3 linked regions of the Canis lupus familiaris genome follow. The protein of the gene in region 1 purifies or fractionates together with the protein of each later gene. This does not show direct contact. Links are inferred from orthologs where the notes say so. Each region holds a gene or a part of one and is shown in the gene's direction. Other genes may lie near its edges. The genes, in order: WASF2, ABI2 and CYFIP2.

Region 1 (10,507 bases):
AAAGAGATGTACCAAGCCTATTCCAGGCCTTGGGGATTTTCTGCATCAGAGCATCATTTGATTTTTAGTTCTCTCCAACTCTCTTCCCTCCAGGGTCTGTTTGAAAGGAGTTCTTTAGAACCCAGCAGTGGTGGAGAGAAGGGGGAGGTAGAACAGAAGCAACCATATTTGCTAGTTGCTATTTGTGTACATGTGTTATTTGGAAATTTGTTGTTCACCCAAGGCCCAGTGCTCTGAGGGACAGGCTTTTATGAGGCACAGGCCCTAAGCACCCTACTTAAATTGGCAGCTCGTAGTGTTGGATAAGAGACCTGGCAGGGAGACCGAGTCTAGCTACCACACAGCAACTTGCATTTGTCCTCAGCTTGGTTTTGCAATCAAATGCCTCCTTGGCCTTTGAGTACTCCAGAGGCTTGCTGACCTCCAAACCAGGCTGTGTGCCAGTCACGTGTTTGCAGCTCACTAGCCTTGGGGCTTGGCTTTGCCCTTTGCCTCAAGACTGACTTTGGGAGTTGGGAGCAGTTAGGCTGCTCTTAACATTTGGGAGGGAATTTAAAAGAACTGCTGGGTTTGACAAGGCCAACCTGCACTGGGAAAGGAACAGCATGGTTTTTGATTGGCTGGGTTGAATCCCATTTCTCTGAATCCAGCAGGAATATCTGGGAGATACTTAATACAACAGAATTCAGTCCTAAAATTTCTTTTTAAAGATTTTATTTATTCATGAGACAGAGAGAGGCAGAAACATAGGCAGAGGGAGAAGCAGGCTCCTCTCAGGGAGACAGATGTGGGACTCGATCCCAGGACCCAGGGATCATGCCCTGAGCTGAAGGCAGACGCTCAACTGCTGAGCCACCCAGGCATCCCTAGTCCTAAATTTTAATCCTGAATTTAATCCTAAAGTAAAATTTCCGAACAGCAGAAAACATGTGGGGAATATTTCTTTCTTCCTAAACGCTTTTGTACCAAATGCATTTTTGTAGGGTCTCTTAAAAAAACTTGAGAAGTGCCAGTCACACTTGAAATGACAGTTTTGACATTGGGTTCATTGTCAGGTACCCACCCACCTTGGTGTACCAGAATGGCAGTATTGGCTCTGTTGAAAATGTGGACAGAAGCAGCTACCCACCGCCACCGCTGTCAGACTCCACCTCTCCGCCTTCTCCTTCCTTCTCTGAGGACAGCTTGCCTCCCCCACCAGCAGAATTCAGGTAAATGGTGCAATCTCTCCTGTCTACTCTGGGTGGTTACACACTCAAAAACAAAATAAGTGTACCTCAGGGTCCCTGGCTGGTTCAGTCAGTGGAGGGTGAGACTCTTGTCTCAGGGTTATGAAAATCAAGCACTTGTGTTAGGTGTAGAGATTATTATTTATTTTTATTTTTATTATTATTGTTATTTTTAAGATTTTATTTATTTATTAATGAGAGACACACACAGAGAAAGAGAGGCAGAGACACAGGCAGAGGGAGAAGCAGGCTCCTTGCAGGAAACCTGACATGGGACTCAATCCCGGGTCTCCAGGATCATCCCTGGGCTGAAGGCGGCACTAAAGTGCTGAGCCACCTGGGGTGCCCTAGAGGTTACTTTAAAAAATAAAATCTTAAGGAAAAAAAAATAAGTGTTCCAAATCCAGGGCAGGACCAATAAAATAACTTGAGTCAAGTCTGTGTAGATAATAAAAATAATTAACATTTTATTAAGTGTCTGTGAGGTGCCAGGCATTATGCCAAACACTGTATATGATGCTTCATCTTCACAATAGTCCTCCTGAAGTAGGTACCCATTTTACAGATGAGTAAGTGGTGAGGCACACAGAGGTCAATGAACTTACCTAAGGTCACACAGCCAGTCATAAGCAGAGCCATGATTGGAAAGCAGGTCATTCAGTCTGCAGAGCCCATATTCTTTTTTTTTTTTTTAAGATTATTTATTTATTTATTTATTCATTCATTCATTCATTCATGAGAGACACACAGAGAGAGAGAGAGAGAGAGAGAGAGAGGCAGAGACACAGGTAGAGCGAGAAGCAGGCTCCATGCAGGGAGCCTGATGTGGGAATCGATCCTGGGACTCCAGAATCAGGCCCTGGGCCGAAGGCAGGCGCTCAACCACTGAGCCACCCAGGGATCCCAGAGCCCATATTTTTAACTGTTAGTTATACTGGAACAGATGGAGATCACCATCATATCTCTTGTTTTTACCTAGCTTTAACTGAGCATGGCATGATGAAGCGGTATAATCTGCCATCCTTACAGTATTTAGCAGACACTGTGCCCTGTTATCTAGGAACCTAGCAGTTACCTTCCTCCCCTGTTCTGGTTCATTTCACTGCTGGATAGATCTCCAGAAAGAATGAAACAAAGGGAAAAGGGAGATCAAATGTAGACTCTGTTGGTACTGGTGTTTGGCAGAGGTATACAGGGGAAGAGTTAGAAAGTAATGACTGGGGACGCCTGGATGGCTCAGCGGTTTGGTGCCTGCCTTCAGCCTGGGGTGTGATCCTGGAGACCTGGGATTGAGTCCCACATCAGGCTCCCATGCATGGAGCCTGCTTCTCTCTCTGCCTATGTCTCTGCCTCTCTCTCTGTGTCTCTCATGAATAAATAAATAAAATCTTTCAAAAAAAAAAAAAGGAAAGAAAAAAAAGAAAGTAACGACTGAATGGAGATCTGAAGAGTATTCAGATTTCAGTGTTTGCTCCGTTACTTTGCCCTTTCTGATGCCTGACAAATGAGAGCTTTGAAAGGTACAGTTTTCTCCTCGGACTCTGTTGAATCAGAGGTTGGATATGTTGAGGACCCCTCAGATGGACACCTAAAGCAGTGCTATAACCCCTTCCCCTCACGCGGATCCACTCTTCTTGGCTCTTGAAACCACTCATCCCAGATCTCTTCCCGCTGATTGCCCCATCACATGCAGCCAAGGCTGGAAGGTCTATGGAAAATCCCAAGATGGATGCTTTATTCTAAGAAGTAACTATTAGTGGAGGGCAGGTACCAAGGTGGAAAAAAATCCTTCAGCCTCACACATGGCCTGAGACCTTGCAGCCACAGCCAAGCACATGTGACCTGGGAAAGGTACAACTCAGTCGTCTCTCAACCCAGTTAAAGTCTGGTGGCACATTCATTTCCCATCTCTGCTGACCCTCAGATCGTCATCCCTTTTCAGGTTTTTCCACGTGAGCACTGAAGGTGCATTTACCTAAATCTGTACTCTGCTCAGCTTTGGTTAGCTTGGCTTGGGTTTCCTGCCCTCACAAGATTTGGTAAATGATAATAGCCTGAGTAATAGAGCCCAGTGGGTGGGTAATGTTTAGATTTTTATTCCAATTCTTCTTGCATGCCTTCTTGCTCCTGGTTTCAGGATAAAACTGACTATCCCTCTTAATGGAGGGTTCAGGAGGGTGCCTTCCTTTGGAGAGCTGGAAAGTTTGAGGGGGGACCTAGAAAATGACTTCAGCCAACCCTTACCTGATAGAGGAACCCAGTGTAAACTTCTTTCAAATAGCTTTTCTCGGGATCCCTGGGTGGCGCAGCGGTTTGGCGCCTGCCTTTGGCCCAGGGCGTGATCCTGGAGACCCGGGATCGAGTCCCACGTCGGGCTCCCGGTGCATGGAGCCTGCTTCTCCCTCTGCCTGTGTCTCTGCCTCGATCTCTCTCTCTGTGTGACTATCATAAATAAATAAAAATTAAAAAAAAAAAAAAACAAATAGCTTTTCTCAGTTACTGGTTATATCCCTCTGCTGATGAGAAGCTTCATTGCATTACAAGGCTTCCTATTGCATTGTTGGTCTGTTCTGATCATTTTTTCTATTTGAGCTAAAATGAAATGATAGTAGACAACCAAAATAAACCTAGGCTCATAGATAAGCTTTATTAGAGGTGGATGTTTGCGTGCTGAGACTGATGGTGGGTTTTTTTTCTTTGTCCTTTTAGCTGCCCAACAGACAGCAACCAAAGAGGGCCTGGCTTAGCTGGACCCAAAAGATCCAGTGTGGTCAGCCCAAGCCATCCACCACCAGCTCCTCCTCTGGGCTCTCCACCAGGCTCCAAACCCGGGTTTGCTCCACCACCTGCCCCTCCACCTCCACCTCCAATGATGAGCGTTCCACCCCCTCCACCGCCTGGAGGATTTGGGCCTCCAGGGACCCCACCACCACCTTCACCCCCATCTTTCCCACCTCACCCCGATTTTGCTGCCCCTCCACCTCCTCCCCCACCGCCTGCAGCTGACTACCCGACTCTGCCACCACCTCCCTTGTCCCAACCAATAGGAAGTGCACCTCCGCCTCCCCCTCCTCCCCCTCCCCCGGGGCCCCCTCCTCTCCTTTTCAGTGGTCCCAATGTCCAGCCTGTCACACCACCACCACTTTCTGATGCCACCAAGCCTAAGTCCTCCTTGCCTCCTGTGAGTGATGCCCGCAGCGACTTACTTTCAGCCATACGTCAAGGTAATTCCCAGTGCTGGGTCCAGGACCACTTGTCAATTTCTACAGCCGAGATGACTGGTTAGAGGGTGGCCTAGGGGTTCCATGCCCTTCCCAGGGGATAGCTTTCATTGGGTGGGGAGAGATTGGGAGGGACCTCAGGCCTCAGATCAGCCTAAAGAAAGGCTTCACTCTGAAAATACAGAGATTTAGATTTCTTTCCATCTTAGTTTAAAGTAAAGGATTCTTGGGGCACCTGAGCCAAAGCATCTGCCCTCGGCTCAGGTCATGATCCCAGGGTCCTGGGATTGAGCCCCAAGTCAGGCTCCCTGCTCAGTGGAGAGTCTACTTCTCCCCCTCCCTCTGCCTGCTCTTCCCCCTGCTTGTGCTCTCTTTTTCAAATAAATATATAAAAGCTTTAAAAAATAATAAAAACAAAATAGATAAAATAAGGATTCTTGGGGCCTTGGATGGCTCAGTCAGAAGAGCAGGTGACTCTTGATCTCAGGGTTGTGAGTTTAAGCCCCACCTTGGGTGTAGAGATTACCTTAAATAAGTAAAGTAAGAGATTCTTAACTTGGGGTCTTTGAACTCCTTGACAAGACATGGCTTTGCCTCTGTTTGCCTTCATTTTGTGCCCCAGAGAAAACCAAGTATCACTGCCCTAGAAGATACTTCTCTGGCCAGTCATGCCCTGTCCTCTTACCCTTCCTCCCTTCTCTCTTTCCCCTTTCTCACCCCGTCCTTCTCCCCCTTTTCTCCTATTCCCTCTTTGTCTCCTTCCCTCCCTTTTCCCCACCTTCCTGCCCTCCCTTATCATCTCACCCTTGTGGAGTATTTATTCTCTTTCTTTCAGAGGTCAGGTCTAATTCCAGTGGTTTAAAGTCGTTTCTTCGGTTTGCGAGACTCCTGGAACTAGGGGTTGTCTGAGGGAGACCAGTTGGGGCAGCTGGGCTCAGTGGTAATCAGTGAACCAGAGAGACTGAGTGCCTAGTGGGTACAGTTCGGTGGCTACTCCCCACTCAGAGCCTCCTGAGAAGTGCCATCCTCACCAGCCTGTGGAAATGGAAAGAATGGCAGGCTTCCTTTCCAACATGCCTATGGCACTGGGGCCTGGCTTGGATAAACCCTCATCTTTACTTCTTTTCTTGCTTTCTCTTTTCCCTTTTTACTTTTTCAGAGGATCCCCACACCTTCCCAGACTCTGCCCACCCCTGGCCACGCCCCCTTCCTCAGTCCTGTGTGGATCCCCAGACCTTTGGAGACCCACTCACCTTCTGAACCCTTCTCTCTGTCTCTATCTCATCAGGCTTTCAGCTGCGCAAGGTTGAGGAGCAGCAGGAACAAGAGAAACGAGATGTCGTGGGCAACGATGTAGCCACCATCTTGTCACGTCGAATTGCCGTGGAGTACAGCGACTCAGAAGATGACTCCTCTGAGTTTGATGAGGACGACTGGTCGGATTAACTCTTTCTGCCTGCTGCCCTCCTCCTTTTTCTTTCCTCCTGCTGCCTTCTTTGATGCATATCCCAACAGTCTGATGCGGGGGGGGAAAGAGGAAAAAAGAATTTCAAGGGGCCAAAGTCTTCCCTGAAGCAACCAAAGATATATCCAAGTGCTTCCTCCAAATCAACATACATTTTCCCATCTCCCCATGGACAGGCCCCATGGGGGCTCCTGAGATTCAGTAGCTGAGATGTTCCCTCTTCCCTTCAAGTGACTGTTGCATATTGAAGAGAAGGCAGAACTCCAAAGCAGATCCCTTTGATTGGGTTTAGATTGGAGTTGGTATCTTCCTCTGGGAGCCATTTTCATCTGTAGTCTCCTTCCAAAATCCTTACCCTTCAAATAGTGCCAGCCATCTTCTGGTCCTAAAGCCTGCATGGGCACGGCTGGCCCCTTTCCCATGCGCTGAGAGGGCAGAGCAGGCCACATGCCCTAGCAGCCAGACTGCCACACCTTTGTGCCGTGGTCAGCAGGGTGAGCTAGCTACCTTTTGCTAAGCCATCTCTGTCTCGGTGCGCTTTATTCTAGGAGCCATCAGGCCCTAAAGAGTGTCTCCCTCTCTACCCAGAAATGGTGCCTTTCTGAAGGCTGAAGTTGTTGCCTCCCCTCAGGCTCTCTGCAGAGTGTGGTGTTCAAGTGTCCTTTAAATACCCCTCCCTCACTACCAGGTGCTTTAGGCACCAGAGCCCAGTTCAAACCTCCAGTACCCATGACCAAACTAGCCTTGACAGGGATCTGGACCTCTGTTGGCCATCAGGGGCCAAGCTTAGAGACTCGGAACTGCAGAACTGGAAGAATGATGGAACTCCTTGGATCCTACCCTCTTAATGATGCTGGGAAATGATTTGCTTCAGGTCTTGAGGTCACACAGTTGGATGGTGACAGAACTCTAGAGCCCAGAATTCCTGGTTCCAAGTCACCTGTGCCTTCTGCGACCAAATAGTGGGCACTTGGAGGAGTCCAGGTAGAGCAGTCTTGGCTCTTTACTACTCCAGACCTCACCATAGGTGGGAGTCCCAGGAGGAGGACTCAGAGCCAGTGCCGGGCCTCTCAGTGCTGCTCAGACCCTTATAGCCTGTCTTACAATTCTTTGCTCCCCCTTTACTATCGCCATTGAACCACATGGCCTTGGGAGCTGCCCTTCTGGGGGACCAAAGGTAGTGAGAGAAGGAAGGGGGTACGCAGCTTTGACAGGTGCTGCTTTCAATTCCTCTGCAACTCGTCCCCCTTTTATTTCCCCAATTTAAGCATAGGTTCTGCCAACTATAGAAACTTCAGTCCCTCAGGCTGGTGGCTGCCGCAGGTAGCTGCCTAGGGGGGCCTGGCAGCTGTGAGGAGGGCTGAAAGGCTGAGGGGCTCTGGGTCTTGTTTCCAGCTCCCTCCTCACTGTGTGCCGTGATGTTCCCTCCCTCACTCCCCCTTTTCCCAGAGCTAATACACAGGTGCTATTATTCAGAAAAAAACTGGTCAGCTTTGGCCAACAGTGAGGTTTCTTCTCTTCTGCCCTAACTATTGTGTAGCCTCTTATGCTGAAACCGGCTTCTCCTGGCTTCTCCGGCTTTCAGAGCCCTGAAACAAAGAGAAACAGGATCTGTCTCTACCCAGCACAGCAAATGGTTGTAGTAATTGCCAAAGCCCTCATAAACCCCTCCGGCTTGAGGGGAGTGTGTAATCATGGGTACTACCGCTGTGCCCTGGCTGGATGCTCCCCCTCTGCCTTCTTTCCTTGAACTCTATCCTGGGGACTGAGCCTGTAGGGGCCAGCATGCCCTCCTGCTGGGGCTACTGCAGACTGGACCCCCGCCCTCCCCAGATCAGATGTCTGCCATGGGGCGGGCACCGTGCTCCGTGCTGGCCATACCAGACTGTGTGTGCCCCCCACCTTGCTTCCCACCTTGTACTTAGGAAGCTGAAGGTGCTTTCTTCAGAACCCTAAAATGGCTGTTGAAGGTGTCCCTGGCTGCAGCCCAGCAGTGGCTCGGAGAGGCAGGTGGAGGGCAGTGGTTCTCCCAAATAGGAGTCCTGGGGCCTGGCCAGGCCAGGGTTCGGGCCTAATGGCTTTGACTAAATTACCCCCATCCCCCTCCTTTCCGGAAAAGGGGGAGCCAGCGCCACTTGCTATCATTCTGCTCTGACCTTGAAGGGGGCGGTGTTGGCCTGGCTTCTGGAATGGACACAGTCTGCCCTGGAAAGGGCTGGGGGCAGAAGGGGGGGCACTGCCTGCGGAAGGTAGGATTAGATCATTAGCTCAGTGACCTCCTAGGGTTTCGATGTGCTGTGTTCTCATCCTACAGCTGGTTTGGTAATGATCTGCAAGTCCCGGAGAGCAACAGCACAGCTCTGCCTGACGCTCTCATTAAAATCTATGCAGCCAAGCTCTGTGCTTTGTAGCAGCCGGTCTTGCGAAGCCTCCTCAGCTCGGGGGGCTGGGGACCCAGTCAGCTGAGAGGCCCTCTGGGCTCTATTTATGCATATGTGCACCAAAACAAAATAAAACAAAAAACCCACAATGCTTCTTTAAACCCGGAGCCCTTTAAGATGATAAAGGACCCTATGCAGGTAATTGTGCGTCTTTGGAATCCTATAATTGTAGAATGCAAAGTTTAGTGATTATTTAAACTGGGCTGAGGCTGGCAAGAGTGTGGAGCAGTAGTTCATAAGGACTCTAAAGCGCTGAAGCTAAGGAGCCACCTCCCTTCCCTAGTTTGCCCAGCCCAGGGGACCTGCCCCCATTCCTGTGGCCCAGGGACCCAGCTTCCAGTCGGCAGTGTCAGAAGTGACTTGTGGCTTTGCCACGGTTGTGAGATGACTACATTCCAAAGGAGCAGCCACAGGGAGGGGGCAGGCTCTGCGATACCTTGGAGGCTCAGAGCAGCTGGCCCAAGCTCCAGCTCGCCTCCAACGGAAGCTCAAGCGCCCTCAGAAACGACCCTGGCCAATGTCACCGCAGAGCCGAGGCAGTGTTGTCAGGGCTAATGTGAAATCTCTTCCCGTGGCGCCGATCCTCCGGCTCTGCAGCGCCAGCTTGGACAGATTGAGGTCTCTGTGGCTTTGGTGACCCTGCTTAAGCATTCCCACCGTGTCCCAGCTTCGCTCTCAGCCTGCCTCCCTCCGCAGCCCCCCTCACCTGACCTCAGGGCCTGGGGAGGGGGCCAGTGCCCCAGGGCAAGGGGCTGTTGCTCAGGAGAGATGTCAGGCTTCCTGGTGTCATCAGGCTTTGAGCTCTACTGGGGTCCAGCAGACCTGGGACCAGGTGTCACTAGGAGATATGCCTCATGCTGTGCCTCCATGAGGGCTAGGGAACAATTCTGTTATTGTATTAACTTGACTCAGTTAACTCACTTGAGAAACTAACCAATTTTTACTTTCTGTCTAGAATGATGTACATGTAGGAGAGTGAGCTATAATGCTCCCAAAGTGCCTTGTTTTCTCTGATATAAATATATTTATAAGGACCTATTCCAGTGGATTCTTGGGTGTGTTTGCCACATCGATTTTAGGGAGTGGGCGTATATGTAGTAGGGATACAGTCTGGAAATGGGTCCCTTTCCCCTCAGGGTGGGAGAGGAGAGGTGGGGGTTAGAGACCTGTGAGGGTGGGGTTAAATCAAACCCCCGAGGTGACTCTTTCCTCTTCGCCCTACTCCTCTTAGGCTTAGAAGGACGTCCAGTTTTTTTAAAGCCCTGTGGCTCCAAGCCTGGTCTCATTTGTTTCCCTGGCTGGCTCACGTGTGGACCACGTTAGCACCCCATGGCCTGAGGATTCCACGTAACGATTTTATGTTATACGTGCAAATATGTAAATGCCAACATTTTAAATAATTTGATAAATCTTTGTAGCTGCTCAGCCACCTTTGGTGTCTGTGTGTGTCTGTGCGTCTGTGCCTGTCTCTGTCTCTAATGGGAAAGTGGTTGGAAGGGGCCGACACTGATAGCCACAGGTGGTGGCCGAGCCCTGGAGGGAGGTCTTGTGTGAGTGGCTTCGAGGAGCAGGAGGCCTGCGGGTCTGGATGGCGTAGGCTTTGTGGGAGGGGGAGGTGGAGGCCAGAAACCATTTTGATTTAGGAGACCCAAGCTGGGGGACCCGGAAGCCCGGATGTCCAGCCGTCCTCAGCTGGGGAGACGAGCAGTTGGCCACTTGCATCAGGGGGAAGAGAGGCGCTGGCAGATGCCGATGTTGCCTCCCAGCATCTGGCCGGCATCTCGTCTGCCTCTCCCACCCTGGCAACGTACCTTAAATATAGAAGGACTTTCAGTGGAATCCGATAAAAAGTTGAGGCTGCTGTGTGTACCCCCTCCTGCCTGGGAAGGCGAAGGGGCTGGGTTTATATTCTGACCCCCAAAAATGACCTACCCAGGAAGCAACGGTTGTTGGCAGCACAGCTGCTGCGGGTGGCCGTCCCTGGGGGCACTTGATGGGCAGACACCCAGCTCCAGTTGCCCCGGGAGAGGGCGGGGAGCCAGGTTGGTGACCCCAGCGGCCACGCCTGCCGTTCAGGGAAGGAGAGTCCCCCACCGGCGTCCCAGGAGGGGGGGGCAGAAGTTTTGAATTGTCAGCAAGTGCCGCGCCAGC
Region 2 (10,507 bases), on another chromosome or scaffold:
ACTTAATAAAAAATTAAGACATATATGAAAACATGCAACTTAGTTGAGTTAGTCCACTGTAGCTGTTTGCACATATTTTCCCACACTGATGGTCAGCTGTCTGAAGCAGTGCTGTGCAGTACAGTCAACTCTTAATTATCCATGTTAATGGGACACACAATATAAAGATAATCCTAAAACAAAATATTTTATATAGTACCTTCTTGATATCTGTTGTGGCCTGTGTATGAAGGAGATGTGGGAGTGGGTCTCAGGCTTGCAAGGGAGCTGGGAGCAAGTATAACTATCTCAAGGTGATGATAAGAGGTGTTTTAGAGGACTTGGGTTTGGCACTGCATAACTTGGCAGTTGCTACAATGAGAAGGATAGAGAAACAAATTAATAAGGATCTATTAATAATAATAGTCCACACAGTTGCAGTGATATTACTTGGTGTGTTTTTTGGTTAGCAGGTAGGAACAATAATGGTGTTTATTAGAAGTGTACTTTCATTAGTTTTGGTCTTTGCTAATTAAGCTTTTTATTTGCCATGGATAAGCGCTATTCTTGAGATCTCTACTAAATAAGAATAAATTTATTGTCATATAACTAGTAACTTTAAAAATCCAGGACAAATTTGGAATACTTTTATTTTACTATTAAAATTCTTTGGGCAGCCCAGGTGGCTCAGCGGTTTAGCGCCGCCTTTGGCCCAGGGCGTGATCCTGGAGACCCAGGATCGAGTCCCACATCGGGCCCCCTGCATGGAGCCTGCTTCTCTCTCTGCCTTTGTCTCTGTCTCTCTCTCTCTCTGTCTCTCTCTCTGTGTCTTGCATGAATAAATAAATAAAATCTTAAAAAATAAAATAAAATTCTTCCTAAGCATCAGTGTTGAACTTGTACTTCCAAAACTTAGCATTAATACATTTTAGCTTTATAACATCAAAGAATATAATGAAGGCAAATGCAATGGTGGTTAGTGCAAGCAATGAGTTAGATTTAGGAAAAAACAGTAGTTTTATATATATATATATATACACACACACACACACACACACACGTATATATTAAAGATTTTATGTATTAACTCATGTTATTTTTAAATTAAACAATACATCATAGGAGCTTTACAAAAATTCTTTTAAAACTGACAGTTGTAAGTTGATAAATGCTGATATTAGCTATATAGAGAGAGGAGTGTTCCTTCTATTATTCTAATTTGACTATGGTTTTCCCCAAGAGAAAGCTTTGAAAAATTTGAAGTAGGTGATTGCTGAAAATTTCATAATCTTATGGACCAAACTTTCTCTTCCTTCCTAATGGAGTAGTAGATTCATTGTTCTCTGTTATTATTCAGACTCCACATAAAAACATAGCTATTTTCTGAATATAGATATGATTTTGTTAACAAGAACTCCTCCAGTTTAACTTAGTGTTGTAGTAGGATGGCAGGAATACAAATTATGCTCTTTGGTTTTCTTAACCTTATATTTTATTATAGATGTTTTTTAAAAAGTTAATAACACCAACTATCTATACTTAGTCACTAGAAATACTAATCTTAAGTCAGCTCTTGTAAGAAGTTTGGAAGTAATTGATATTGATATTTCAGAGTGTGTAATGTAAGGACAAGTGAATTAGTACCCCCGCTAAATCATTGGTTCACTTACCCTCATGGAGACATTTGGTAATGTCACACATTTTTGGTTATCACAACTTGGTTTGGAGGAGTGCTACAGGTCTACTGGGATACTTCTTCACATGATGCAATACTCAGGACAGCCTCTCACAGCAAAAAATTATCTGGCCCAAAATGTCAAGTGTGTCACTATTGAGAAACCCTGGTCTAGTTTTTCTAAGATGTAGGAATTCTTTTAGAGTAAACAACTAGAAATATTATATAACCAAACTAAATTCTTTTGATTTTCCATGGATGTTATGCTCTTAAGATTTATGTTTTAAAACATGCCTTGAGGTTTTTTTTTTTTTTTTTTTTTTTAACTGAGAATATAAGAAGCAACATTTTTCTGTTCAAAATTCCTCCAGCCAAAATTCCTTTTGGAGTTTAGTGCTGGGAAAATTGTCCCTTCCTGATGAAGGGATGTATTTTCTTATAGTTTATTGTTTGCACTTTGCTTTCCCTCTCAGGAAGTTGTAAGAGCCCACTTTAGACCTATAATTCTGAGATTTTTTTTTTCTTTGCTATATTGGTTTTTGTTTTATCCTTAGTGAATGGTCTGTAGGTTTGGGCTGTGTTTGTGCATATATAAGAAGAACTTATAAGTAATATGTAAGTGCCTCCAATCCCCAGAAAAATGATCAAATGTTTTCAGTGCTTTTTTAAAAAAAGTCTTAATTTTTTCACAGTTAAAAAATATGTGCTTATTATAAAACGTAACTATATTAATGCAGATATGGAAACTTGCTTTCCCATTTTATTTTATTATTTTTTTTAAAGATTTTTAAATTTATTTATTCATGAGAGACACAGAGAGGCAGAGACATAGGAAGAGGGAGGAGAAGCAGGCTCCATGCAGGGAGCCTGATGTGGGACTCGATCCGGAGACTCTGGGATCACACCCTGAGCCAAAGGCAGACACTCAACCGCTGAGCCACCCAGGTCTCCCCCTCATTTTATTTATTAATACAGAGATGTATTAATAATTCCACCATTAAAATTTGAAATTAAAGTTTCAGTTTGCAGTAAGCTTAAAATTCTATGGTTGGTTAGGTTTGCATTCTTATGGTTTCCCTTTTTTTTTTTTTTGGTTTCCTTTTTGAATAGTATAACTACATTTCTAAAAACTGGAGGAAGAACAGTGTCTCAAGACGATTACATTCTCTGATAAATTTTCTTTTATTGACATTGTGAAGACCAGTTATAAAAAAAATAGGTGTCAAAAAAAGTGCCATATTTTCTTTGGTTTTGTTTATTTTGAAGCATACTTAAAACATATGAAATATTTCTAAGTGCATGTTTTAATGATTCAGCATGACACATTAGAAATTATTTAAAATGAGATTTTTATTTCTCTGAAGTTAAAAATAAGTAAATACCAATATTGTCACTAATGTATAAATGTCTGTTTCTCTGTTACAGCTCTCCTGTAGTAGTTGAAAAGGAAGGCAGGTTTTGTAATTTTTACTTAACGTGCTCAGGAAAGCTCAAAGATTATTTTTGCCTTAAAAAGAAATATTTAAAATGATAAAGTTAACTACCTTGGCCAGTCTTTGATTTGATGCTTCATTTAGATACTAGTTGTGAAGCTTATAGATACTGTTGCTTTTAAAATCTTTTGGTTGAAATAGGAGACTTTTGTTTCAAGTTCCCTTCATACCTTGGATAGTTTAGAGGGATAATCAGCTTTCAGATTACTTATAGTGATATTTAATACTGTCATAATGGTTATCTTTTCTTTCCGTTTCTATGTTATTACCTGGTTCTGTTTTCAGAAAGGGGAAAATGAAGTAGGACTGGGGAGGAATGAGTGTCTGTTAATTGCTGCTTGGCCCAGGAAGAGTATGAGAGATATGAACAATTTTAGTGAAGTGTTTTCCAACTTTTTTGACTGCAACTCACAGTAAAAAAATATATTTTATGTTGCACCCAGTACACAATTCCTGTATCTTTTTCCTGTATCAATTCCTGTATATATATATATATATATATATATATATATATATATATATGTATATATATATATATATATATTTAACAAATATTTCAAGAAAAAAATACTTACTATGCATATATAGTCTAATATTTCTATTTTTTTTTTATTAAAAAAATTGCCTTTTGGGACGCCTAGGTGGCTCAGTAGTTGGGCGTCTGCCTTCGGCTCAGGTCGTGATCCTGGAGTCCTGGGATTGAGTCCCACATCGGGCTCCTTGTATGGAGACTGATTTTCCCTCTGCCTGTGTCTCTCTCTCTCTCTCTCTCTGTCTTTCATGAATAAATAAATAAATTTAAAAAAATAAAAAATTGCCTTTCACATACCACTAAATTACAACCTGCTGTTTGAGAAATGCTTTTTAGGGATATTAATTATCTATGTTTATACAGAAATTCGCTATCAACAAATAGAAGACCAAGTAAAAACACATTTATCCTATGTGAACATTTAATAAATAGGATAAATTAATGAAATATTTTAATGTTATCATGATAAAATATACACAAACTTAATTTTTTTTGTAAAAAGATGATAACATTGTATTTATATTTTAAGCCTCTCTTTTTTAAGAATAGAAAAGCATTTGAGCATCAATGGAAATTATACTAATAGGTTATTTAAAAATGTAACCAACATAATACCTGGAGCTTTCTTAGTCATTATATATTAGTTTGAGTATTAATGGAGCAATGGAGCTTGGGAAAAAATTAGCATGCTTTAACCCAGAGGTTGGCACACTTTTTTCTGTAAAGAACCCCCTAATATTTTAGACTTGCGGGCCATGCAGTCTTTGTTTTAATTGCTTATCTCTGCCCTGTAGTATGAAAATATGTAAGCAAGTAGAATAGCTGTGGTCCAAAAATTTTTCTTTATGGAAACTGAAATTTGAATTCGGTATGATTTTCACATGTCATGACATTATTTTTCTTTTGACTTTTAAAAACCATTAAAACATGTAAACACTACTCCCAGGTTGTAAAAAACTTCAGGTTATAAAAAACAGTTTGTGGACCAGATTTGGTTGGCCAGCCATGATTTGCCAACCTTAGGCTTTAGCCTAAGAATGGAGAAAGCTAGTAGATCCAAAAAGAACAAAATTTAGCAGTTGGGGCTAAGTATATGAATAATAATGTTAGATGTCTGAGCATTTATATTTTGATTCTTCTGGGGATTAGAACTCTACATTTTTGTCTTGTGTTTATATTTTGCAGACCGTTGATATTCATAAAGAGAAAGTTGCAAGAAGAGAGATTGGTATTTTGACTACCAATAAAAACACTTCAAGGACACATAAGATTATTGCTCCAGCCAATCTTGAACGACCAGTTCGTTATATTAGAAAACCTATTGACTATACAATTCTAGATGATATTGGACATGGAGTAAAGGTAAGTATAATTTTTGTCAACCTTTTTAAAACAGCAGTCCATAATGGAACTAACTCTTTAGAAAATTAAGCTTTTGTCTTTTCTTTCCTGGAGGTCCAGGTTTTGGCCCAGTTGTGGTTCTGAAGGTTCTTTAATACTATAACTATTCTATCCTTCTTGCTTCTTCCTGGTGCTGTGTTTTCAAATTTTAAACAGTCACCTTTAAATGAATTGCATTTACTTAATCAGCTATGAGGATACCTCATCTAGATTGGGCAAATAAGTGTGGTTTAATTTTTCTAATCTTTTAATGACTTAGTATGACCGATTAAAAAACTACTCAGCATGTTCTTTAAGTATCCACCTTATTTCAAAAATTTATCAGCAACGCTTTGGTGTTAGTTTTCAGAAGGAACATCTATAAACAAACATGTACTTTGAATCTTTCTAAAATAATTTTATCTTAACATTTTGGGTGAGAGTAGTGTAGATGAAAGTAATATGTGAATTAGTATTTCCACTGCTTTTGAGTATGTAGCCATTATATATTTTGGCTGTCTTTTAAAATGTATTGGAGTATCTGCTGCATATGTAAAAGTACCATAATCAAAACTAAGGTGCATATAAATTTGATTTAAATTGGTATTTATACTTAAACTATTTGGAGCTTCAGCTAAGTGTTCAGTTACTTAAAGCTTTCATCTTAATCAGTGATTTGAAGGGCAATGACTCTTCAAATGTGACTTTGAATATATACATATGTGTGAAACTGTACAGTTTATGCAATTGATTTATGTCTATATAAGCAAATTTAAATTAAAAAAATATCCTACACTAGTATCCTGGAAATCAGTTAAATGTAAATCTAATGTAGACCTAGGTAAAAGAAAACATACAGTGTAAATTAAGTCTTTTTCTTTCTCAGAATTTTGATACAAGCACTGTTATCTGGAATTTGATATTTGACTTTATGAAATATTAAAAATTTTATAATTTTGAGATTTATTCTAGACTAATAACTGCTAATAAATAATTTTAGGGTAATGCCAGAATCTAATTACAAAAGGTACTTAGAATATAAAACATAATATTTGTACTTGCCCACTTATACAATAAAAACATGGTTTCCTTCCCACTCTAATTCTTAACTTAATTCAAGTAAAATATTATTCTTTTGGGACTCTGGAGTCCTTTTTATTATTTGGGCTTTTAGAGTTTAGGGCTAACTAATTTGAAGAAATCTTTATTAAAGTTTTTGAATAAAACAATGTCATATAATTTCATCAAAAAAAAACCCTCCTGTTCATGACACATTCTGCTTTGACCACTCTTTCTATGATCTACTGAAACATTATTTTTTAATGCTGAATGCTTAACTTGTTTTTTCTTTGTTTTTTTTCCTTTCTCTTCACATCCTGAAGTTCCAACTAACCTTTCAATGCTTTTTTTCCTTACCTCTTTTATTTGCTCCATTTATGCATTAAGTGGTTGCTTAGATTTAAGGTAAGAGATTCCAGGGCTGGATTTCCATTCTTTGTTCTTATGTAGAATATTACATATGGGGAGTGAAGAGATATTTGGCACTTGGCCTTCTAAAATCAACAAATAATTCCTCTTTAATTTTTAAAAAGTTTTGTCATCCAACTTTGTGGTGTGTCTTCATGTTCCATGAGGGCAGATTTTTTTGTCTGTTTTGTTCACAAAAAAGTTTTGTCCTATGTGCCTACAACAGTGCCTGATGCACACATTAGGTGCTTAGTAAATATTTTTGAATAAATGTGTATTTTGTAATGTTCATATATTTTGTGAAATTAAAATTAAGGTTACCTGTTATAAAATGTCATTATGAATAAAATTAGCTGGACTTTTGTAAATACAGGATTTATGTTATGGATTGGAGGGCCAACTAATGTGCTTTATTTAACCCTCCCCCTGTGTAATAGCCTTTTTATTCTATAAATGGTGTGCTTTATTAGACACCTTGTGGCCAGTATGTCATTATCTCTTGACTCTTAGTCAATGTAAAGAAATTGAGAAATGGAAAATATTCAATGTTACAGGTTTTTTTTTTTAAGTTGCAGTATCATGTATTTTGCAAAAAGCAAAATTAGTTTCTCATTTTCAAATTGCTATATAAGATACATATTTCAACATAAACTTTAAGAGTTTTACTAGTTGAGTATTAATTATATCAAAACTTCAAAAGTTCATGAGTGTTTAACAAAATTCACATTAAGAATTAGAGAAATACTTGTTTCACTAACATTTTAGGGATTTTTGTTTATATTTTAGTATTTTAGAGAATTAATGGTAAAAGACATTCAAGTGTATTCAAGAACATTTAAATAGAAGGTTACTAACATTTTCACTAAACTGAGCATGAATTTCCTTTTTCTTATTTTCTTAGCTGAACTTTATAAATTCTTTTCAAATACACTATCTAAAACCCTGTTATCTGTCATGTCTCCAGTATAGAAAGTGATAAGAAGATAATTGAGATCTGAATCATTAACTAGCTACTAATACTAACCAGGGCCACAGACTTTTCAACAGATCCTGGTAGATGTGACTAGAGGAGTCGAGCGCATGTACTTCTTGTGTTATTGAGTAGAATGTCTCAGTCTTGGTAAGTGGGGGATGTGGAATTCTGAGGAGATTCCTTTTGCATAAAATACAAAGAAGTAGACCCAAAGCAGTGTGTAACTAGCTTGGCTCTTTTCCTGTAAAAGCTGCATTCAAATTTTGGCTATTGATGGGTTTTCTTCAAAGTGATACAAGTGCACAGAAAGATCATCTAAAGGAAAAAAACACAGAAATGGACCAGTTCTTTAACCCTTTAAGTTTAGACCAGTTTGTGTAAGCTACTTTCCTATGCTCATGCCTCCAAACTGTACTATGATTCCTTTTTGACCTTCTTGGATTCAGGATCTGTTCTATGTGGGAGATACACCAAAGTGAGTAGGAAATAAGCCCCTAGAAAGCAAGGAAATATACCACACTTGGGTAAGATTCCTTGACATCTTTACAAATATACAAAAGCTTCACTCCTGAGTACTGTGGCTCTATGTAGGTGTTTCTGCTCTGAGTGGTGTTGCCTGGTGAGAAGAGTACCCTGAACTCATTCTAGAAGCTAGAATGTACCAACACTCTGTCTTTTCTTTCTTCCTGTCCCTCTTTGTGACTTTTCCTTCTCTGTAAACCTATAGCACATTGCTAATAATTTTGGGTAAACCAAAACAAAGTAGAGTGAAAAAATATTCAATGTATAACAAATATTTCTCTTTTTATTCTGGTATTTAAAAAGGAGTGGTTTTAGTAGGGTGATTAATAGAATAATTTAATACATTAAGGTAGGAAATAGAAATATTTAAATAGAAATTTAAATAAATTTAAAAAATTTAAATAGAAATATTAAAGAGAAAATATTATAGTTGGAAGGAACTGGATAATTAACTAGTTCAGTGGTTTCCAACTGATCTTGGAGACTTGTGGATTATGTCAAGTGCCCTAGAGGTCTCCTGATGTTTGTTGGTAGGATTATCTGCTTCTTTGATTTCCTCAGTTCTTTGTGAACTCTCTTTTTGCTCTTTATTGCTGTTAGACTTTTGATGTCTTTCAGACAGACTTTAAACAAAGATCATACTTTGAGGCCAGACACATGGGTTTTGACTTAAAAGAATCCTCCATACTAAAAGTTGAATTTTTAACATTTTGAATAGCATGTTCTCATGGGGGCTCATGGTTCTTTTCATAAAAAATTTAGGTTGGTTTTTTTTTTTTTTTTTTTTTTTCCTTTAGTTGACAGGGGAGAACAAGTTGTGTTTTTTTTTTTTTAAAGATTTTATTCATTCATTCATGAGAGACACACACAGAGGCAGAGACACAGGCAGAGGGAAAAGCAGGCTCCATGCAGGGAGCCTGACACGGGACTCAATCCTGGGTCTCCAGGATCACACCCCAGGCCGAAGACTGCGCTAAACCGCTGAGCCACCCAGGCTGCCCACAAGTTGTAGAGTTTAATTCGTAAGACCTTTGAAAATAATATGGTGATATTTTTACAAAAGGCTTAAGAATAAAAAGCTGAAGGGTGGAATGCCATAATGGAAGTGTTTTAGTGTATACCTGAGGCCATATAAAAGTAGAATTTACCTTGAACTGGGATACCCTTTTCCCACTCTTTATTTTATTTAAAAATTTTAATTTAAATTTGATTAACATATAATGTATTACTGGTTTCAGAGGTAGAGGTCATTGATACATCAGTCTTATATAATATCCAATGCTCATTACATCACGTCCCACTTTTTTTTTAATAGTAAAAAGAATTTTAGGACCCCATTACTAATGTATTTGAAATGTTTTTTTTTTTCTTTTGAAGCAGTGAAGTTGTCACTAATGAAGCTAAACTTCAGTACTTTTAAAATTAATATATTAGTTTAAACAAAAGCAGTAAGGACTCCTAATCTGTTAGTGTAGTATTTATTGCAGTTGGACATGCTGTGCAAGCAAATTCTAAATAATTAATGAGGAGGGGTTATGGATTTGTTTTACAACCAACACATTAAGAATAGAACACTTCTGAAAATTTTGCTTGAGATCTCACTTAACTTATCCCTGTGTAAAAAATAGCTTTAGTTTTTCACTTGAGTGTGTTCCTTAACAAGTGTTTGTCATTCCCTGCAGGAGGATGATGAATTGTGTCTCACATTTCCAGCTCTAAAGTGCAGCTGAGGGTTCACTCTTGAGCATTTATCTGACTCGTCATTTGGAAGGAAAGCTCCATAATCACAGCAACCTTTGGGACCCATCTGTTTTTGCCTTTTAGTTCCAATCTGAGCCGCCAATTCTATTTTGGCAAAGGCTGGTTGTCAGAAAGTATTTTCAGGATCAAGCAGAAATCTGCCCATCTTTATTCCTCTTTTCTTGTCCTCCTTTCTTTACCTGTTTCTCTTTCCCATTATTCCTACTCTTTTATTCCCTTATGTCTGTTTTTGGATTACTTTAGGACTCTTAGTACCTTAGGCTTTTTGTCTTGCTCTTACAAAAATTTTACCTCTTCTGAATTCATACTCAAACCCCTGATTTCAGCTTTGATTTCCCTCAAAGGATCTCCTGGTCCTTTTCCTCTTAGCCCTGGTCATTGCAGTCGGAATATATATTTTCTGAAGGGAGGGATAGAGATCTCCAGGAAGCCAAAGAATTATGCATTGGATGGGACTAGTGAGGAACAATACTGGACAGTGAATGAAGGCCCAGAGGTGCTTGACCACGGCTTCTGCTCCCCCTCACTATTCCATAGCCAGATACAGGCTATCCATACTACTACTACCCTTCTCTTTGTATATTTAAATCCTGCTTTTTTTTTAAAGCAACAGTCCAGGGATCCCTGGGTGGCGCAGCGGTTTGGCGCCTGCCTTTGGCCCAGGGCGCGATCCTGGAGACCCAGGATCGAATCCCACGTCGGGCTCCCTGCATGGAGCCTGCTTC
Region 3 (11,247 bases), on another chromosome or scaffold:
TCCAGTTTCCTATGGGAGGGCCTGGGTCTGGGTCCAACCAGCCTTGGGCAACTCTTCCCCTCTCTGGGCCCCAGTTCTTTCATCTGTAAAATGAGGCAATTTTGAGCAAGTGCTCAGGTCTTATCTTACGGACAACGTAAATTGCAAAACAAACCATCAAGTTTCTCTTTTCCTGCTAACTACACGCACCAGTGTGTGAGCCTACTGCATGTAGCAAGCCCATTGCACTTAGTGACTTCTTTTGTATTATTTACAGTTTCTCTCCATCTCATACCCTTTTCCTTGTTTTAAAAATTTATTATTGAGGGGTACCTGGGTGCTCAGTGGGTTTAGCCTCTGACTCTTGATTTCAGCTCAGGTCATGACCTCTGGGTCCTGAGATGAGCCCTGCCGGAGGCTCCATACTGAGCACGGATTGAATTTGGGATTCTCTCAATCCCTCTTCTTCTGCCCCTCCCCTGCTTGTGTTCCTGTACTCTCTCCCTTTTTCTCTTTCTCAAATAAATTAATTAATTAAATCTTTAAAAAAAATTATTAGTGATTCTAGGGGCACTTGGGTTCCTCAGTCAGTTAAGTGTCTGATTCTTGATTTCAGCTCAGGTCTTGATCTCAAGGCCGTGAGTTCCAGCCCCATGTGCGGGCTCCACACTGGGCCAGGAGCCTACTTTGAAAACAATTATTATTGATTCTAAAACATTTTAGCCATTATTGTTAACATTAATATTTACGTTCTCTGTCTCCAGAACCAATCCTTATATCCATTCCAGATACTCTAGTACTGGTTTCTATGAAGGAGAATCTGCGAATTTTAAATGGAGACTTGGATGTCCTAAGTGACCTGAGACTTTTCTAAAAACAAGGCAGTGTTGCCACACATGAAACCACGGTGCGTGGGCCACAGCTTTACAAGTGGGAAAGCAATTTTTGCCTGATAGCTTCAATCCTCTCATTGCTGATGGTGCAGCCGGGGGTTGGACATGAAGCATATCTGAAGGCAGTAGACAGATGGCTACACATTTCATTGGCAACATGTATACTAAGATTTTACTTTTGATTATTGATTCAACTCATATTTACCGAATTCCTATTAAGTACTAGTCTCTGAGGAGGCAATGAGAAGAAAGACACATCCCTCTCTCTTCGATTTTATGCTCTAATGATCGTATGCAGGCAAGTATGTCCTCAGTGACAACACGCACAACAAGGGGGATGATAGAGGAAGCCCAGGGGGCTCTGGGGAGCTTAGGTGACTAACACTAGCCTAACATGTCTCTCCAGACATGGAGGGAGCTTGAAGGAACAGACAGGTAAGTGGACACCAGAGGGACAAATAGAGGTTAGGCAGCAAACTGGGGGCATGTGCAAAAGAGGGAGGGAAGGAGGATAGATCATTCCAAGCAAGAAGTCCAGCTTAGGTAAAGGCCAAATGCAAGAGGACACAGCAAATCTGGGACACTAAAAGATTGCTTTTAGCTGAAAGCATAGAGAGCTTGCTCACAGCAGTAGAGACTGGAGAGGTAGATGATAGATTATGAAGACTCTTGTGGGCCATTAGTTAAGGAGTTTGGGCTCCATACTGAGAACAATAGAGAGCTGGTGAAGTGCTTTAAGTGTGTTAGGGGCATGCCCTTTAATTCATGTGATTTTCTACATGTAGAAGGATTTGGGAATGTATCCAACTTACTTCACTGTATAGATGGGGAAACAGGTGAAGTGACTTGCCTAGGATCACTTACTTGCAAAACTGGGACCAAAAGGCAAGCCTCTGGATTTCCAACACAGCGGTTTGAACGACACCATACTGCTTCCCCTTATAAGCAAATGGAAATCAGGGGTCATGGAATTATTCTTGCCTAACATCTAACCAAATATATATGCAATAGTCTTTTTGTTTCTCTTAAGCAACTTGTTCTTGAAAGGTGAAAAGACAAGGAAGGAGTAGCAGGGGAAATGTGTCTTCCAGAAATCCACAACATCCAACATAGTATGTCCTCTAGAATGAAGATCCAATCTCTCTTGTTACATAATCACTGACACTCAAAAAACTAAGGATCACAGTGGAAAATGAAAAATTAAACAAGGAAGGAAGGAAGGAAGGAAGGAAGGAAGGAAGGAAGGAAGGAAGGAAGGAAGGGGAGAATGAAAGCAAGCAAGCAAGAAAAGAGAAACTCAGTTCGGTTTTTAAAGCCATCCTCCACAAACACCTCCACAGCTTTCTCACAGGGAAGAAATGTGTGTGTGTACATATATATATAAGTCATCCTTTCTGAAATAGCAATTTAAATTGGAGTGAGTGATGTAACATCAAACCATAAAGGATCATGAATTCTGAGGGTTTGGGAAGTGGTGTGAGATCCATGAGGGCAAAGATTCCTCAAGTCCTTTGCCAGAGACTCCAGTAATACGCCCCTCTATAATTAGCCCCTAAATAGGAATAGCTGAGTGATTAAGTATAAATTTGTGGGCCCTGGGCAAACACTCCAGAAAGCTTCCCTTGTAACAGGACTTAATTCTTTGTATCTGTACACACTTTAAAACGTCTCGAATGCTTTCCAGTGTTTACCCTGTGAAGTAGGAAGGGCAAGCATTACCCTCACGTTATAGACACAGTGGCTTCTCAGGAACAGTGTTGAAGTGACTTGGGTAGGGGGTCTCAAGGTTGGATCTGAGGGCCCACGAGGCTGCAGTTCAGTGAGGACTGTTCCTTTGAACAGCCCTCAACGCAGAACAAGGCTTCCTGTTGCCACGCATTTTCCCTTTTGTCCATTAGGCAATTCTCCCTCAATGAAGTCGAGGCAGAGCCTCCTTAGGAGATGGCACCTTCCGGGGGTTGGCTCCAAGGAACGGAGAAGGTATTCCTTTTTTTTTTTTTTTTAATTTATTTTTTATTGGTGTTCAATTTACTAACATACAGAATAACCCCCAGTGCCCGTCACCCATTCACTCCCACCCCCCGCCCTCCTCCCCTTCCACCACCCCTAGTTCGTTTCCCAGAGTTAGCAGTCTTTACGTTCTGTCTCCCTTTCTGATATTTCCCACACGTTTCTTCCCCCTTCCCTTATATTCCCTTTCACTATTATTTATATTCCCCAAATGAATGAGAACATATAATGTTTGTCCGGAGAAGGTATTCCTGAGCAGAGGAGCGGCACTGGGGGCCAGAATCAATGGGTTGGGGCCCCCTCGCCCCAGCCTCAGCTGTATTTCCCATCACTTTGCCCGGTTCTTTCCTTCACGGCACTTCTTCCCGCTGTCAGTGCGCGTTGGCCAGGTTAATGCGTGCCCCATCTCCCCTGGTAGGCAAGAAGCTCCAAAAGGGCAGTACACCGGTGCATACTCAGCTTCTGGCACGGGGCTCGGAACAAAGTAGCTGCTCAATAAATATTAGGTAGATAAATGAGCGCTTGGAAATAGAGAGTGAGGTCGATGAGCTCCGAGCGCAGCCCAGGGCCGCCCTCCCCGCCGGCGGCAGGTGTGGCTCCCGGCGAGCGAGACCTGAGCGCAGGTGCCGCCTCCGTCCCTTACGCGGGCCGCGCGGCCGGTCGTCCTGGGGCAGGAGCCGCGCGGCAGGTCGGGCGCCCCGGGAGCCCCTCGCCGCAGCCATTTCCTGCTCTTTGTGTGACGGCGGCGGCGGCGGCGGAGGGCCGGCCCCGCGCGGGGGAGGAGCCGGAGCCGGAGCCGGGAGCCGCGAGCCGCGAGCCGGGCGCGGGGGGCGGGGCGGGGCGGGGCGGGCCCGGGGGCGGGGGCGGGGCCGAGCGCGGCGGCCGCGGGAGCCGAGCGGAGCCGGGCGGAGCGGGCAGAGCATCCTGCGCCCCGGCGCGGGGCCCCCGGCAGCCTCGGGCCGCTCGCCTGGACCTGCCGCCGACGCAGGTAAGCGGCGCGGCGCTCGCGGGCCTGGGCGCCGGCCTGGGCGCCGGGATGCTGCGGGGGACGCCGGTGCGGCCGCGAGGATGCGCGGGGGGCCGGCGCCCCTCCACCCAGCCCGAGGGGGGGCGCTCGGCGCGGCGCCCCGGCTGGCGCGGCCTGGGGGACCCGGAGCCCCTGGGGCAGGGCTGCAGGCCCCGCGCGGCCCCTGCCGGCTCCGGCCCATCCCGGCCCCGCGGCGCGGACCCGGGGCGAGGAGGCGCGGACACGCGACGCAGCTCGGGCGCGGCGGCGGCGGCGGCGGCGGCGGCGGCAGCAGCAGGTGCGCGGCCTGGGCCGAAGCCGCGGGCCGGAGACGGAGCGGCGCTGATCCCGGCCGGGAGACACCTGCGGGGGCCGCGAGCCCAGCGGCGGCGACCCCCGGAGCCCAGGTACTGCGGAGCGCCGGCCGCCGCCTCCGCCGCCTCGGCCCATCCCCTCCTCCAGGGCCAGCGAGAGGCGCGTGGGCCCGCCTGGCGGCCGCCGGGGACAGCAGCGCCCTGCGCTGGGCGCGACATGGGTGGGGCGGGGGGGCCGCCGGCGACCGGGGGTGCGGGGCTTTAGCGAGGCGGGAGGAAGCCGGACCGCTTGGAAGCCTGCGGGCCTACGCTGGCATCCTCTGCCTCCCGGCTGCCTGTGGGCGGGGGAGGACACGGGGAAGGGGACGAGTGCGCCGAGTCCTGGGGAAAAGGTTGGATTTCTCTTGAGCCCTGAAGACATCAGGAGGATCGCCTACCTGTCTGTTGTGGCTTCTGCTTTTCAGGACAGCCCGCCCCCTCGATGGATGGGTGGAAAGGAAGAGGAGGGAGTGCTCTCTGTTTAGAGGTGGGGGTGGGGACGGGGGCAGGAAGCCTGGTCACGGTCAGACAGGAGGACGGTTCTCTGTACTGCGGAGACCCTGGCAGGAAAGGACCCTGGGACTGCCCTGGCCCTCCTCAGCTCCAGGAACCTGCCTTTGACCTCTGCTTGCCTACTGTCTCCAGTTGAGCCGAAGCACTCACCTAGAGCTGATGGGCCATCTGCTCCCCTTCCAGCCAGGACAAGAAGGTGGCAGGGGTCTTTCCCAGCTAGCTCTCGGGTGCCTGTGCCTTCCTGGCATGGGTAAGGAGACTGGGGCAGTCCTGCGGGCATGAGGGACAAATCAGAGTGCTGGTTCTCATACTCCTCTTTTCTAACTCCTACCCTGTCCCTCTTAGGGCAGGTTGTCTTATCTTACTTACCCTTAGGCACTGGCCCTGTGGGAGGCCATGCCGGTAACCCTGGAGATCACAGATGTTGGAGGGCAAAATTCTAGGACCATATCCCTGGGCAGGATTGCAGAGGCCTTGGAGGCAGTTTTCTCTGTGACTCTCCCTGAGGCCTCCCATCTCCAGCTCCAGCTCCATGTTCTGTGCTTCCCCTAGTCTCCTATGTCAAAAATTATTTTCAAGAGAGGAGCCAGTGAACATGTTTATCCTTAAGAGCTAAATACAAAAGAATTTGAAATTTGATGCAGAGCAGGTCCTTTAGAAGTCGTTTAACTGGAAAGGAAACAGAGGCTGGGAGGCATTTGAATGGAAAACAAAGCTTTAAGTCAACCTATTTGCTATCTCTAATGGTGGAATTTCAGGCAGTAGACTGGAAGTGGGAATGGGGAACTGGGTAGCAATGTTGGGGAACAGTCACTGAAATGACAGTATCTAGCATCTGTCAGCAATGTTTGCTGCTGGGGCAGAAATGCCATTGGAGTGTGTGTCTGTGTAACTGTCCAGGGGTTCCTGGCACTGGAAGGTATCTGTGGTGCACCCAGTATCCACTTGGGGGAGGTGAAACTTTGCTATAGAGAGTTATTCAGTGGTACTGGCTGCCATCTGCCTGGCCAGTTACTGAGCCACAAGAAGAGTGTGTTGTTGCTTACAAAGCCAGTGCTTTGCCTAGTTCTGAACACTGAGCCTCTGGCGGGGGGCATTAGCTGTCAGCTCACTAAGCTTCGTTATTATATTTCCTGGTAAGTTCTGACCAGTTCTGTAGGCACCCAAGCCTGCCCTGTTTAGTCTCTGCTGAAAGTAGAAACTGAAAAACTTGCTTTAGCCGTTAGGCCAAGAATGGGGTATATGATCCAAGAGAGTTCAAGAGTTTTTTCTCGAATCAAATCAGAGGCTGGCCCAGAAAAGGAAGTAGGCATTTAAAATTTAAAATCTGGAAAAGGGGGGGATCCCTGGGTGGCGCAGCGGTTTAGTGCCTGTCTTTGGCCCAGGGTGTGATCCTGGGAACTCAGGATCGAATCCCGCGTTGGGCTCCCGGTGCATGGAGCCTGCTTCTCCCTCTGCCTATGTCTCTGCCTCTCTCTCTCTCTCTCTGTGTGCCTATCATAAATAAATAAAATTTAAAAAATATATATATATATCATTAAAAAAATAAATAAAAATAAAATAAAATAAAATCTGGAAAAGGGCCCCAGGAGAACACTACATGTACCCTCTGATAAATTGTGCCCTCTTGGGTGTTCAGTGGGCCTTCTCTGCTGTCATTGACCAGCAAGCTGAATGAGGTGATGAATAGGCAATGAGCTAATTAGCATTGGAAACAGCACTCCTGGAAAACAGTACAGGGCTCCAGTCCCTACATTTGAGAATCGGCCTACACTCTCAAAGAGGTTTCTTTTGGCTGCTGTTGGCCCCAGGGTTCTACCAAGAGCTTCACAAAATGGCCTTTTGTAGCCTCCATGTGGCCACCATAACAATGCATCTATTTCTTTACTAGCAAGTATTAATTATTCACTCGTAGTTGATGAAACAAGACATCAGTCACCTCATTGGAGTCTTTGTAACAGGCCTTTGGTCTTGTCCTTCTAAAGAGCAAACCCATGTCTAGGGCATAGAGGATAGACCCTGCCTTGGTAGTAGAGCATGTTGCTGGGCAGTGACTGGGAGGTCAGTGGTAGTGGGGAAGGAGCTGGTATTCAATACTGGATGCTCTAATTGAATGAGGGATGCATGAACATGTTAAGCAGAATGTCTAGTACATAATAAAGTGCTATTATATTTATATATTTAAGAATACGGTTCATGTGTGTAGTCAACCCATAGCCCTTCCCAACCCTACCTCCAGGGGCTTCCTGGATTTTGCTTTTCCCAGGGGAGTTGGCTCTGTGACCAAGAAACCTAGCCCCTGCAGGTTTACCTGCAAAAGTTAACCAAAAGAGTGGTAAGGTGTAGTATCAGTAAGGGCTTCAGGTCGGAAGTAGCTCTTGAGTAGCTCACTGAAGGTGGGTATAACTTGAGTAGGCAGAAAGAAGGGGAAGAAATATACTGAGCAGAAGCCCAGAGGTAGTTCTCACATTTCAACACACAAACAAAGGTCAGGAAGGAACTTTCCTCCTGTGTGCATTTAGCATTTTGCAACCAGCCAAAAATGTTAAGGGCATGCTTCACTTCCCAGGCAGACAGAGCAGAGCAGTGGCCTTCGGACACAGGATTTATCCTTGACTTGCCATGTGCCTTTAAATCCTCCACTACCTCTCTGACTTTAAAAATTAGCCCAGGGAAAGCAGCTTGCCCTGCTTGTTACCTACCTGTTGCCACAGGAGCCTGCAGATGAGATAATGTCTATAAATCCCAGTCTTAGAAGAAAGGCCGTGGAAACAGGGAAGAGAAAGAGGTTTCTGAATGTGTGGCTCTTTTGGATGACTGCCCTTTATTCCTAAAGGAACAATTTATTAATTATATATTGTGTGTCAATTTAAGAAGACAAATCTGTGGCCTCTCTGTAACATTGAGCCAAAAGGAAACTGAAAGGCACTTTGTGATTCCCAGATTCTGTCAAGGCCCCTGGATGGCCTTGTCTGTACAAAGACACTTCAGATTTCAGTTGGTGGGTGTGGGACGCCTCCCAGGATGCAGAGTTTGGATATTGGCTTCCTGGCCATGGCCATTATGCCAAGGGCTGTGTGTGGTGTGCCTCAAAAGATGACCATTCAAGCCATACTTCTGGGGCCCTGGCAACAGAGGAAGATTCTTGAAAGGAATTGTTTTAAGAATTCTTACAGGGACCATTATGGCCAAGTGGCATTTTTGAGAGACTTCCAGCAACTCAGAAATAGTGCAAGGAGAAAGGAAAGTAAACATGACCTTCTGGAGAGATACCCAAGAAGGACCCAGTGATGACTTCATCAATAGGCCTTTTGATTGTGTGTTTGCATCATCATTAGGTCATCTTAGAGCAGTGGTTCTCAGACTTTAATCTCTTCGTAGGATCGAGGGAGGTTAGTATGTCCATGTTGTATGGTCTCTGTCTTCTAAATAAGGGAGGAGATGAGGTCCTCCACAGAAAGTAAAGGTGGTGGACTGGTTAGGAGAGTTCAGGAGACTTCCGGAGGTTTGGAACAGCTGCCCCTGTGGGTGGAATAAGAAATCAACTGGGGGATGAATGAGAGGATTGTTTAACTTTTCTGAGACCAAAGAATCTGTAGGGCTGACCCTCATAGAAGACACTCAGTAACTCAGTGTTAAGTGAAGGGATACCTGAGAAAGATAGTCAATGTGTGCTTTTAAATTGTGATGCCTTAAGACAGATTTTGGCAAGGTGTGAATGCAAGAAAAGAAATCAGGACTAGGAGTCAGTCACCAGCCTTCAAGTATGTTATACCTTCATGTGGGAAAGAGAAATAAGGACCTGTGTCTTAAGGTGGAAACTACATGACAGAATTTTCTAAAGAAGTCTCTTCAAAGTCTTCATAGTAGGAAGGTTGACTTAGATATGATGCTTTAGAGGACCACAATATTTTAAATTAAAAAATTTGTTTTTACCAGAAGATATGTGTTTTGGGTCGTTGGCTTATGCATTCAGCAAGTTGTTCATATCGTGCTTATTAAGTAAATAAAATGTGCCTAACATGTGCCCGGATCTGTACTAAGGCTATGAGTCAATCTAAAAAAAAAAAAAAAAAAAAAAAAAAGATGACCATTCCTGTTTTTGGTGATCCAAAGAATTAGTGAAATATAAATCAATTTATAATGCAGTAGGAAATTGTAGACTCTTCGTCCACTTTTAGAATCCAGAGAAATGAAAGTTTGGGGGGGTTTGGTCAGACCTTTATGAAGGAGGCCTATCTTGAATTGGGCCTTGACAGTGGTTAAGGGTAGGATTCAAGAAGGGGAGAGGAGAGTCTACTGGAGAGTGGAGAGAGTTGGAGCAAAGGCAGGAATGTCCATGGGCAGGTTAATGGCACTCCAAACATCCTGGCCAGTGTGGTATCCATGTTGGAGAACTATGGTCTTAAAAGAAGACCTTTGCATGGAGTCTCCATCTACTGTCCATGTCATATTTTTTTTTTCTGGTTGGAAGGGCCCTGAGATAGTCTCAAGTCCAGTGATTCTTAACTAGTTGCTTTTGGGTTTGCACTCTTTTTTCTTTCTTTTAGTAATATGATCGACAATATTGATGAGCTCAACACACCACACCCACAGCCAGTCCCCTCCCCACTCCACCCCCGTTTTCTCCCACACAGGGAAAGATACACATGCAAGCAATGATAGCACAGGAGCAGTTGGAACCTTCCCAAAGACACAATAAAAAGTACATTGCTGGGGATCCCTGGGTGGCGCAGCGGTTTAGCGCCTGCCTTTGGCCCAGGGCGCGATCCTGGAGACCCGGGATCGAATCCCACGTCAGGCTCCCGGTGCATGGAGCCTGCTTCTCCCTCTGCCTATGTCTCTGCCTCTCTCTCTCTCTCTCTGTGTGACTATCAAAAATAAATAAAAAATTAAAAAAAAAAAGCACATTGCTTGCACACCTCACTACATAAACCATTACTGGTAAAAGTTGCCCACAAGAACCTTCACAATGGAGGTTTTGACATCATGGTTGAGAACCATTGCCCAGGCAGCTTCCATATTTTACAGACTAGGAAATGGCCTTTTTAGAATGAGTGAAAATATGATTCCAGGGCCTAAGTCAGTTTTCAGAGTGAGCCACAACCAAATTGCACCTTCACATCCGTGAGACTGAGGCCCGCAGGCTCTGCTCTGGGGGCTGAACCTACAGTCTCACTCTGTTTCCACAGCAGATGCAGCGTGGCTGGCTTCCCTTCCTGAGTTTTAGCAGGTGCTTCTGAGACACAGCATATCTCCGGATATGGGTCACGTTGGTGCCCCTCACATGGTGGCTTGTCACAGGCCCCAGCGGGAGCAGATTGACAGGCCACCCTCCCTGGCCTGACCGTGTGCCCCCCACCCCCACCCCCGGTGCCTGCAAGAGGATGGGATCTGCCCAGTTGGGTTATCAACGGAAAGGCCCCCTCAGCCCTGACAACACAGGAAGCAGCTGAGTAGAACTGGCTGGCAGGAGCAGTGGCAAGGTTTCTAACCTTGCCAGGGTCTTTTTCTTTGCTGTAAACAACCAGGAGGGTAGGCCTTCTCCAGAGGCCCCAAGACATGGACTTCTCTGCTCTGACCTCCTGTCCCTTGTGTGGAGAGAAGCCGCCGGTGATGATGCCTTTTTCCCAGAAGCCCCACAACGAGGGAGTTAGGTAGCGAAGGCCACCTGGAGACCATGCTGTGGACTGGCTAGATGTCCCTGGAAATGCTGGGAAGGAGGCCTTGGGTTGTTGTCTCTGAAAGTAAATATAAAAATTTCAATCAAAGCGATACATGCTTTAAAAAGATCAAAGAGTACTGAGAGGTGCGTGATGAGAACAACCAAGCGGTGCCCACCTCCCCGTAGATGCTGTCGCTTCTAACTCACTGTTTCTTCCAGCACTTGTCTCCACATCTCGAAAGGATATGCTTACGCTGCCGTTTCTTGATTTATCTGTTCTATGTATTGTCTATTTACTTCCTGCTGTGATAGAAGAAGGCTTGGCTTTCTTACACCATCTGCCTCCCTCCCTGTCCCCATCTCCTGATATAGGGAGAGCTGTTTTAACCTTAGTCGTGTTTAAAGCATCTATATTATTAAGATGTGTAAATGATGGTCACAAGAGAGCTAGGCAATGTCCTTTGATTTATCTCCTTTCCTTCATGGCTTTTTTGTTTTATTGCAGAAGTAGAATTTTCTCCCTCCCTTCCTGCCTACCTATTTAATGTTACTTTTTTGTTTTTGTTTTTGTTTTTTTTACAGCTCTGTCCTATCTATTACTGTATTAGATCTTCTTACCTTCCCAGGAAGTTACAGTGTTAACCCCAGCTCTGCCCCTAACTGGCCAGTAGACCTTGCCCAGACCTGTCTTGCCTCTCAGCCCCAATGTCCTCCTTGCAGAAAGAGAGCTCAGGGTGGAGGTGGAAGGAGGACTACACACCCATCTCGTTCTCATTCTAAACCTCAAAGCCCATCCCCCGGGTCAGAGACTGTTGCTGTGTGAGCAGT

What was found.
Region 2: the proteins of WASF2 (region 1) and ABI2 purify together in Homo sapiens (affinity purification with mass spectrometry; 3 studies listed by BioGRID and IntAct, counting the BioPlex papers as one, with this or other methods). This does not show direct contact. The link is inferred for Canis lupus familiaris from reciprocal best matches to the Homo sapiens genes WASF2 and ABI2.
Region 3: the proteins of WASF2 (region 1) and CYFIP2 purify together in Homo sapiens (co-immunoprecipitation; 3 studies listed by BioGRID and IntAct, with this or other methods). This does not show direct contact. The link is inferred for Canis lupus familiaris from reciprocal best matches to the Homo sapiens genes WASF2 and CYFIP2.

What each region holds. Positions count from the first base shown.
Region 1 is NC_049223.1:72,259,261-72,269,767, forward strand, and holds the end of WASF2 (wiskott-Aldrich syndrome protein family member 2), read left to right. Parts: intron 1-1,055; coding exon 1,056-1,211; intron 1,212-3,938; coding exon 3,939-4,453; intron 4,454-5,738; coding exon 5,739-5,896; 3' UTR 5,897-9,785; downstream 9,786-10,507. UniProt on the Homo sapiens protein: Downstream effector molecule involved in the transmission of signals from tyrosine kinase receptors and small GTPases to the actin cytoskeleton. Promotes formation of actin filaments. Part of the WAVE complex that regulates lamellipodia formation.
Region 2 is NC_049258.1:12,085,815-12,096,321, forward strand, and holds part of ABI2 (abl interactor 2), read left to right. Parts: intron 1-199; exon of another isoform or gene 200-351; intron 352-4,864; coding exon 4,865-5,041; intron 5,042-6,505; coding exon 6,506-6,523; intron 6,524-7,550; exon of another isoform or gene 7,551-8,105; intron 8,106-10,507. UniProt on the Homo sapiens protein: Regulator of actin cytoskeleton dynamics underlying cell motility and adhesion. Functions as a component of the WAVE complex, which activates actin nucleating machinery Arp2/3 to drive lamellipodia formation.
Region 3 is NC_049225.1:53,772,823-53,784,069, reverse strand, and holds the start of CYFIP2 (cytoplasmic FMR1-interacting protein 2), read left to right. Parts: upstream 1-3,763; 5' UTR 3,764-3,870; intron 3,871-11,247. UniProt on the Homo sapiens protein: Involved in T-cell adhesion and p53/TP53-dependent induction of apoptosis. Does not bind RNA. As component of the WAVE1 complex, required for BDNF-NTRK2 endocytic trafficking and signaling from early endosomes.